2 linked regions of the Macaca fascicularis genome follow. The protein of the gene in region 1 purifies or fractionates together with the protein of each later gene. This does not show direct contact. Links are inferred from orthologs where the notes say so. Each region holds a gene or a part of one and is shown in the gene's direction. Other genes may lie near its edges.

Evidence for each region.
Region 2: the proteins of PAXIP1 (region 1) and NCOA6 purify together in Homo sapiens (co-immunoprecipitation; 6 studies listed by BioGRID and IntAct, with this or other methods). This does not show direct contact. The link is inferred for Macaca fascicularis from reciprocal best matches to the Homo sapiens genes PAXIP1 and NCOA6.

Annotation. Positions count from the first base shown.
Region 1 is NC_088377.1:196,303,130-196,307,559, reverse strand, and holds the start of PAXIP1 (PAX-interacting protein 1), read left to right. Parts: upstream 1-1,472; 5' UTR 1,473-1,666; coding exon 1,667-1,747; intron 1,748-4,430.
Region 2 is NC_088384.1:90,870,942-90,875,511, reverse strand, and holds the start of NCOA6 (nuclear receptor coactivator 6), read left to right. Parts: upstream 1-1,649; 5' UTR 1,650-1,834; intron 1,835-4,570. UniProt on the Homo sapiens protein: Nuclear receptor coactivator that directly binds nuclear receptors and stimulates the transcriptional activities in a hormone-dependent fashion. Coactivates expression in an agonist- and AF2-dependent manner.

The DNA of each region.
Region 1 (4,430 bases):
CTTTTCTTTTTCTTTATTTTTGAAAAGACGGAGTCTCGCTCTGTCGCCCAGGCTGGAGGGCAGTGGCGCGATCTCGGCTCACTGCAACCTCACCCTCCCGGGTTCACGCCATTCTCCTGCCTCAGCCTCCCGAGCAGCTGGGATTACAGGCGCGCGCCGCCACGCCCGGCTAATTTTTTGTATTTTAGTAGAGACGGGGTTTCACCGTGTCGCCCAGGCTGGCCTCGAACCCCTGAACTCAGGCAATCCGCCCACCTCGGCCTCCTAAAGTGCTAGGATTACAGGCGTGAGCCACCGCGCCCGGACTTTTCTCTTTTTTAAAACCAATTTCACTAACATTTACTAAAAAATGGTTTTCTGCTTTGCAGAAGAGACTTAAGGCATGTGGAGAAGACACTGCGGGCCTGTCTCAGATTCCTTTAGAAACCAATGCTCCACAGTTTTAGGACTAAGTAATATTCCGATAATCACCCAAGAGTTCCTGGTCTCCGGTTTGTTGTGAGATTGGAAATGAAAGTGAAAGGCTGCGTTCGTCATCGTGGCCTTATTTCTTCTCCCAACTTCCGGTCGTGCAGGTGTCTCGGGCAGGTGATGCCGAGGCCACTCTGCCGTGTTTTGTGAATCTTGGCAGAAGGGAGGCGAGCTGTAAATAAAAGCATGAGCATTAGAATCGCCGCTGTGTAGTATTAACCTGTTGAGCGCGGGGCTTTCCGGGGCTGGAGCTGCACCGCGGGCTCTGCCGTCTGGGACTCTCCTCCAGCGCGGACCGGACACGACCCCAGGCACCAGGCCGGGCCCGGCCGGGACAGCGGGGTCTCGGGCAGCGGCGGGGCCGGGCGCCCCTCCAGCACGTCCCCAGCTCGGGCGTCGAGGCCTGGCGGAGACCCCAGGACTCGCCACGGCGGCCTCCAGTGCGCGTCTTGCGTGATGCTGCGGTCTCTGGAATTCCGTCACGGCGGAGCCGGGTCCAGCAAGGTGTAGACCGGGGACCCGCACCTTGCTCGGCCAGAGCGGCTCAGCCACTACTCCAGGTCCGGCCGCGGCCACTGAGAACAGCCGGGACACCCAGCTCCACTCTGCCCGGGACCAAGAAGCCCGAGGAGGCCGCTGCCCGGCTCCAGCTCTCACTAGCGGCCCCGAAGCCCCGCCCCTCCGCCGGGCGCATGCGCAGCCCCCCAGCAGCCGCGTGTGGTGACGGGAGGGGCCTGCCCGCTCCCCTCCTTCCCGGGACCGGCTCACTCCGGCCCCGCCGAGGGGGGCTCGGGTTTCACCTCGTCCCCCGGGATCCCTCGTTGCAGAGCGGCGGAGATGGAACCGCAAGATCCAGAGCGGGCCAGCGGGCTCCAGCTCTCCCGGAGCCGTGGATGGCGGCAGAGGCGCGGGGCGTTGCTGGAGGCCGGGCGGCTCCTCGGCGCTCCCCCTCGGTGGCCGGGGCGGGATGGTGCGTCCCGCAGGGCGCGCGCGGCTCCCGCGCTTCGGGCGCTCGGCGCGGGCGCGGGCGGGGGCGCGGAGGGCGGGGGAGCGGACCCCGATTCGCAGGACCCGGCCCGGGCCGCGCGGGCAGTGCCGTTGGCGGGGCGAGCGGGGGCGCCGGGCGCCGCGGGGCCGGGGGCGGGGGGTGGGCGGGGCCGGGCGCTGCCGCGGAGCCTCCCGGGCCGCCGCGATCATGTCGGACCAGGCGCTCAAAGTTCCTGAGGAGATGTTCAGGGAGGTCAAGTATTACGCGGTGGGCGACATCGACCCGCAGGTACCGCGCCCGCTCCTGCCGCGGCCTCCTCCCGCGTCCGCGTCCCCGTCCCCGTCCGTCCCCGTTCCCGTCCCCGTCCCCGCTCCTGTCGCGGGCGCGCGCCGGGCGCAGAGCGTCGGGTCCGCCGAGGCCGCCGGCCTGACTGCGCGGAGGGCAGGGGCGACCGCGGGGTGGGCGCGGGAGGCCGGGGCACGGGGGAGTGCGGGAGGGAGGGCGGCCGGGGCGGCGGGAGCTCTGTGCCTCGGTCCCTAGTGCGTGCCCTGAGCCCCCGGCCTGCGGCCCTGGGGTCGCCGCCCCCCACCCAACGGGCCCCCTCGCTCTCTGCTCCTTTGCTGAGCGGGACTGGCGCCGGGTCGCGTCTCCCCCTTCCCCGCGCCAGGCGTCTCGGCTCCCGGGAGAGCAGCTCTGAGGGCGGACGAGGGTCGCCGGGATCCCCAGCCGGGGCAGCTCGCGCGGGGGCCCCAGGCTCTCTCGGCCGGCGGGGACCGTGGCCGTGCCCCGGCGTGGCCGCCTCCGCCACCCGGGCAGCTGCCGTCCTGTGCGGGGCTGAGGAGCGCTCCTTTCCAACCTGTGTTCCTGCACGTGGGGGCTGGCATTCGTCTTCCTTGATTTTCCCAGTTGGACGATTAATTTTACGGTACCCTGGTAACACCATCCCATTACACATTTAATTTTGTGTAGTTTGGGCTCACGCCAAAGGACATTGTGGGTTTTCCTTATTATTCCTATAATAATACATCTGTTTGATGTCACACAGTTATCAGTCCGTGGTGGGAATGCATCTTAGTTGAATATCCTCTTCAGGTTAATCTTCAAAATATTTCCTTCCCAAAAGTTTAATTGTACGATTATGTTGCCTTGGATGTGACATCAGTGGCTCCCACCTTGGAGGATGGGGATGCCCAGTGATCAGATTAGGCCTGGAAGGGCGGGAACTCATATTTAGCAGATAAACTTGGATGGTGTAGAAGGAATTGTAGAAGGCTGATTGATCTTGGCCTTCTTGAGGTTCGTCCTTGTATCTTAGTAACAACTTTTTTGGATCCTTTTTGCTCTGTAACTTTAGGGTAAAGAGACTTCAAGGCCGGGGTGGTGGCTTACGCCTGTAATCCCAGCACTTTGGGAGGCCGAGGCGGGTGGATCACCTGAGGCCAGGAGTTCGAGGCCAGCCTGGCCAACATGGTGAAACCTCGTCTCTACTAAAAATACAAAAATTAGCCGGGCGTGGTGGCGGGCGTCCGTAGTCTCAGCTACTCAGGAGGCTGAGGCAGGAGAATTGCTGGAACCCGGGAGGTGGAGGTTGCAGTGAGCTGAGATTGCGCCATTGCACTCCAGCCTGGGCAACAACAACTTTTCCGTCCCAAAAAAGAAAAAAAAAAAAAGACTTGTATCTTTGAATTTAAAGAGTAAAATGCTTGCTGAACACGGAGTGATCAAAATGAGTGCCTGTAACAGTATGAGCTTTTTCGAGTATTGATGGTGATTCCGCGACCCCCTCCTTTTTTTTTTCTATCCACCATTTTTCTCTTCCGCCTCCCTCCTTGCCTTCATGTTTCATTTTAGGACTTTGGCTCTTACAGGGGAGTTGAACCAAACTTACTGAAAACCTGGAACAAGTTGAACTGGAACCATATTTACTCGACTATGAATGAAATCTAAGTGCTTAAAAATGTCCTTGGCAAACCGCTTTCATCTGAAACAGTATATTTTCTGAAGTTTTGAGCCTGGACATCTGATTCTCTGACTCTTGTGATTGTGAATTATAAGTTCACATGTTGACCATCTAGTATGAGGCAGGCATGGATTAGGTGCCAGGTATAACACAGAGGTGAAGAGGACATGGTACCTGCCCTTGAGCGCCCTTCATTGGTGGGGAAGGGAGCACACATCACAGTACAAGGTGTAGCAGATTTCCCCACTGGGGTGCAGAGTAGACGCCACTGAAATGTCATTTCAGTTGGGTTTTGAGATAAGCAGAAGTTAAGAACACGAAGGAATATTTTCATGTGGAGCTATGTGCTGAGGAATGAGGCATTCGTGTGTTTGGGATACATCAGGATGATCACTATATCTGGAACAGAGTGACTTGAGATAAATCTATTAAGATATTCATTAGTGTGGAGATTGAGGAGAAGCTATTGGTTTTGGCATCCTCAAAGTTCGTGAAAATCAAGTAAAGTGTTTTTGGTAGAGTGTTGGTGGAAGGGGCTGGATTGCAGGGAGTTGAAGAGTGAATGGAAACTGAGAACAGAAAGGTTAGACTCTTCAGGAAATTTGTCCTGAGAAGGAAATAGAGAAGGTGCCTGGGGAACAGAGGGCTGGGGAGGGATCTGTGTTGCATCACAAGTGCGTGGAAGGATGTGGGCAATTTCACTGTTTACGGGTGGTGGGAACATAGCTATGGACAGGGAGACTCATGAAGAAGGCAGTAGGATCAGAAACAGACTGGAGGATAGGAAAAGGAGGGGTGCCTTTTCTGAAGACCAGTCGAATGAATGAGTGAAGCTGAAAATGCTTAGAGGTCAAGGGAAGGAAGAAAGGTTAAAGTGGCCCATGGCCAGCGACCGTTGTTTTTTCACTTACTAAATATTGAGCCTCTTCTCTAGTTCATATCTATTAGTGGTCAGTAAAGTATTCTGAAAAGGTTTTCTAGCTTGTGGGTCACTTTATTTTTTTTTTTCGA
Region 2 (4,570 bases), on another chromosome or scaffold:
TAAAACAATTGAACTCATGGAGATAGAGAATAAAAGGAGGGTTACCAGAGGCTGGTAAGGTTAGTGGGGAGGTGGGTGAGAAGCGGGAATGACAAAAGAATAGTTACAAAGAATGTATAAGACCTAGTATTTGCTAGCACAAGAAGGTGACTATAGTACAAAACAATTGGCCGGGTGCGGTGGCTCACGCCTATAATCCCAGCACTTTGAGGGGCTGAGGCAGGCAGATCATGAGGTCAGGAGTTCGAGACCAGCCTGGCCAATATGGCGAAACCCCATCTCTACTTAAAAAATATACAAAAATTAGCTGGGTGTGGCGGCAGGCGCCTGTAGTTCCAGCTACTCAGGAGCCTGAGGCAGGAGAATCCCTTGAAACAGGGAGGCGGAGGTTACAGTGAGCCGAGATCGCGCCACTGCACTTCAGCCTGGGCGACATAGTGAGACTGTCTCAAAAAAAAAAAAAAACACAAAAACCACACACACACAATTTAGCTGTACATTTTAAAATAACTAGAGTGTAATTGGGTTGTTTGTAACACAAAGGATAAATGCTTGAGGTGCTAGATACCCCATTTACCATGATGTGATTATTACATGATGTATGCCTGTATCAAAATCTCATGTACCCCATAAATATATTCACCTACTACGTACTTACAAAAATTTAAAAAATACATCAGTGTAGTGTGGGAAAAAAGAAAACAAAAACAAAAATTTTTTTTTTTTTTTGAGACGTGGTCTCGCTCTGTCGCCCAGGCTGGAGTGCAGTGGCTGGATCTCAGCTCACTGCAAGCTCCGCCTCCCGGGTTTACGCCATTCTCCTGCCACAGCCTCCCGAGTAGCTGGGACTACAGGCGCCCGCCACCACGCCCGGCTAGTTTTTTGTATTTTTTAGTAGAGACGGGGTTTCACCGTGTTAGCCAGGATGGTCCCGATCTCCTGACCTCGTGATCCGCCCGTCTCGGCCTCCCAAAGTGCTGGGATTACAGGCTTGAGCCACCGCGCCCGGCCCAAAAAATTTAAAAAAAAGAGTGAAAGCCAGATATGAATCCAGGCCTGTATGACAGACGTCAAGGCCAGTGCTGAGGAGGCCTTTCTACATTTGGGAAGTGGGGAGGGGCCACACTCGTTCGATCAATAATTCTATTTCCTGAGCATTTTAGCTTGCTAGGGAGGTAATGATGGGAAAAAGAAGAGAGGGATTTAGAGGCAAATAATAGTGAAAGCTTTTATCTATATCCCATTAAGCTTATTATTAGACACTATGTGTCAGGCACGGTGACAAGTGCCTTCCATGCCTACCTCCATTTCCTCCTCACAAGAACTATGATTTTCCCCATATTTCAGATGGGTAAACTGAGGTTTGGAGTTGCCATTTCCAAGGATACTCAGTGCGCTCGCAAAAGGCTGTTCGGTGTGTGTTTCCCCAGCGGGACTCACTGGCGAGAGAATAGCACTGGGAAGCCGACAGAAACCCACGAGATCCCAGCATTAAGCTCACAGCACCCAAGCGAGCTGGCGCGCACTCCACCTCGCGCTCCCGGGGACGTCTGGTCACGTGGGCAATGCCCCGCCCCTCGAGTCCGCCCCGCCCCCTCTGGCGCTCCCTCCCTCTTTCCCTCCCTCCCCCTCCCTCCCCGGCCCGGTCCGGCCCATCCCCCTCCCCGCCGGCTCGGTGAGGCCCTGCCGGGTCGGGCTGCGGGCGGCCGGGCGCGGGTGGCCGGACAGACGGGCGCACGCGAGGACTGACGGACGGACGCACGGAGGGCGGCGGGCACGCACGGCCGGGGCTGGCGCTCCAAGGCCCGCCCGGGAGGGCTGGGGCCGCGCTCAGGTGAGACGACGGCGGCGCGGGCCCGTAAGGGGTGGGCCCGCCGGGTGTCCGCGGTCCTTGTCGGGCTGGCTTCGCGGGGAGGAGGCGCCGCCCGGGCCCGGCGCGGGAAAATGGCGCCGGGCGACCGAGTGGCACGGTCTGAGTGCGGGCCCGGCCCGGAGCCGCCCCGCCCGCCGCGCTTATGTCCCCGTCGCCATGTTGGGGAGCGGGCCCCAGGCCTGCGGGCGGGGGCGCTGGAGGGAGCGGCGGCCCGGCGGGGTGGGGAGGGTGCTGGGCGCTGGGGCCGGCGCACTGAGGGAGTGCAGGGCTGGCCGGGGTCTGCACGGGGTGGCGCTCCAGGCCCGGGGAACAGGCGGGAGCCAGTAGTGGGGTCGTGGTCAGGGTCGTGGAGAAGGAACACTGGATCCGAAAGGAACCAGGATTGGGGTCCATGGGCTGAGAGGATGGCAGGACGTGGAACTGGGTTAGGCCTTAGGCGGGCTTAGGGCACTAGTGCAGGTAGAACCTGGTGATTGGGGTGGAGGCATGGGGGCCAAGCTTAGGCTGTCAGGGCTGGAGCAGTTCTTTGCGGGGAGGGAAGGAGGTGATGGATGAGGAATGAGGGCCCTTTGGGTACAGACGCTGGTATCAGATTGGGGCAGTCCTTGGGGTACTGGGGCTGATTTGCAAAGCTGTATAACTCCCAAGGCTCTGAAGACTTACGTTCCAAGCATCCTCCACCCCCTATTGGGGGAAGCAACAGGAAAAAGGAGGTGTTTGATGAGAGAAAAGGGGGACAAAAGGGGACTGAGGTTTGGGTGCAGGAGCTGACCGGCAAAAGAGGCACAGAGAGTGGAACTGGTTGGCAAGAAAGGAAAGAACCTTTATCAACTTAGGGAATTGTGTGTGTCTTTAAAAGGAGGGACCCGGCTGTTTGGGGGCGGTGACCCAAGGTGTCTTCCCTGGAAGGGGACAGCCCACAGCTTAAGAGCAGGGTCACCTGGAGAGGTCATCCGAAAGGCGTTATTGAAGCCAGTAAAATGGTGAAGAAGAGTGAATGTATAAAAACTACAAAGGCCTGAGAGATCAAGTAAAGATTTCAAATCAGGTAGTGATTTTAGCTGAAACAGAAAGGTAAAGTTGACTTTTCAAGATCTTACAAGTTAGTAGCAGAGGGTCTACTGGAAATGGTCAGCTGCCTGCTCACTAAACACATTGCCTTAAAGGAGTTTGCTAGCTGGGAGAAAGGTGTTAAGAAATGAACCATAACATTCTTGTGATGAAACTAAAAGCAAACAAACAAAAACAATAAGAAGTGAAGCGTAACAGTATATACCAGATAACTATTAAATTTGTTTTGTTCCTTTAATGACTTTGGCAATACAAAGGCTGAAGGGAATACAAAAGAGGGTAGGCAGCCAGTTTTTTGGTATTTCCTGGCTCATCTCTAATTGTGCAAAGTTGTTGTCTTTGAGACCTTCTAACTTTGTAGAGTTTTAAGAGATGCTCCGGCCAGCCATAGTGGCTCATGCCTGTAATCCCAGCACTTTGGGAGGCCAAGGCGGGAGGATTGCTTGAGCCCAGGAGCTGGGAGACCCCATCTCTACAAAAAAATAAAAAAAATTAGCCACCTGATGTGGCTTGTACTTTTAGTCCCAGCCACTCAGGAGGCTGAGGTGGAAGGATCGCTTGAGCCTGGGAGGCCAAGGCTGCAATGAGCCGTGCTGTGATCGTTCCATGATATTCCAGCCTGGATTACAGAGTAAGACACTGTCTAAAAAAAAAAAAAGAAAAAAGAAATACTTCTTCTCTTCTAGGTGTTTACCACAAAGGGACACAAAATCCTAAAAAAGAAAAGTGAAAAATTGTAAAGACCCAGAGTGTCTATTTTGTTAATTGAAGTTGGATCATGTTAGAGAAAAATTCAAAGTTCGCGTGGGCTATGGGAGAGTTCTGAAGGAAATATGCAAACTAGTCATGGAAAATAGGTCCAGGGCCCCATATAATCAAAGAGAATTAATGAACAGAAAGGTTATGAGGGCAAATATAAAATAAGATTGTCAATACCATATGTATATACTGCAACACAATTCATTTGTTCTGGGTTTTTCTTTTCTTTTTTTTTTTTAATTTGTGGAGATGGGATTTCAACATGTTGCTCAGGCTGGTCTTGAGCTCCTTAGCTCAAGTGATCTGCCCACCTCGGCCTCCCAAAATGCTGGGATTACAGGCGTGAGCCACCTGGGTTTTTCTAATGAAGGAAGACCTGACCTTATCTGTGCCATGGACCCCTTTCAGAATAATATTTTTTAGTTGTATAAAATAAAGTACATTGAATTATAAGGAACACCAATTATATGGAAATATAGTTTCCAACATATACAAATCTAATATTCATATACTTGTTTTTTTTTTTTTTTTTTTGAGACGGAGTCTCGCTCTGTCACCCAGGCTGGAGTGCGGTGGCCGGATCTCTGCTCACTGCAAGCTCCGCCTCCCGGGTTTACGCCATTCTCCTGGCTCAGCCTCCGGAGTAGCTGGGACTACAGGCGCCCGCCACCTCGCCCGGCTAGTTTTTTGTACTTTTTAGTAGAGACGGTGTTTCACCGTGTTAGCCAGGATGGTCTCGATCTCCTGACCTCGTGATCCGCTCGTCTCGGCCTCCCAAAGTGCTGGGATTACAGGCTTGAGCCACCGCGCCCGGCCTCATATACTTGTTTATCAGCACATTAAGAAATCAGATTTAGTGATGGATCT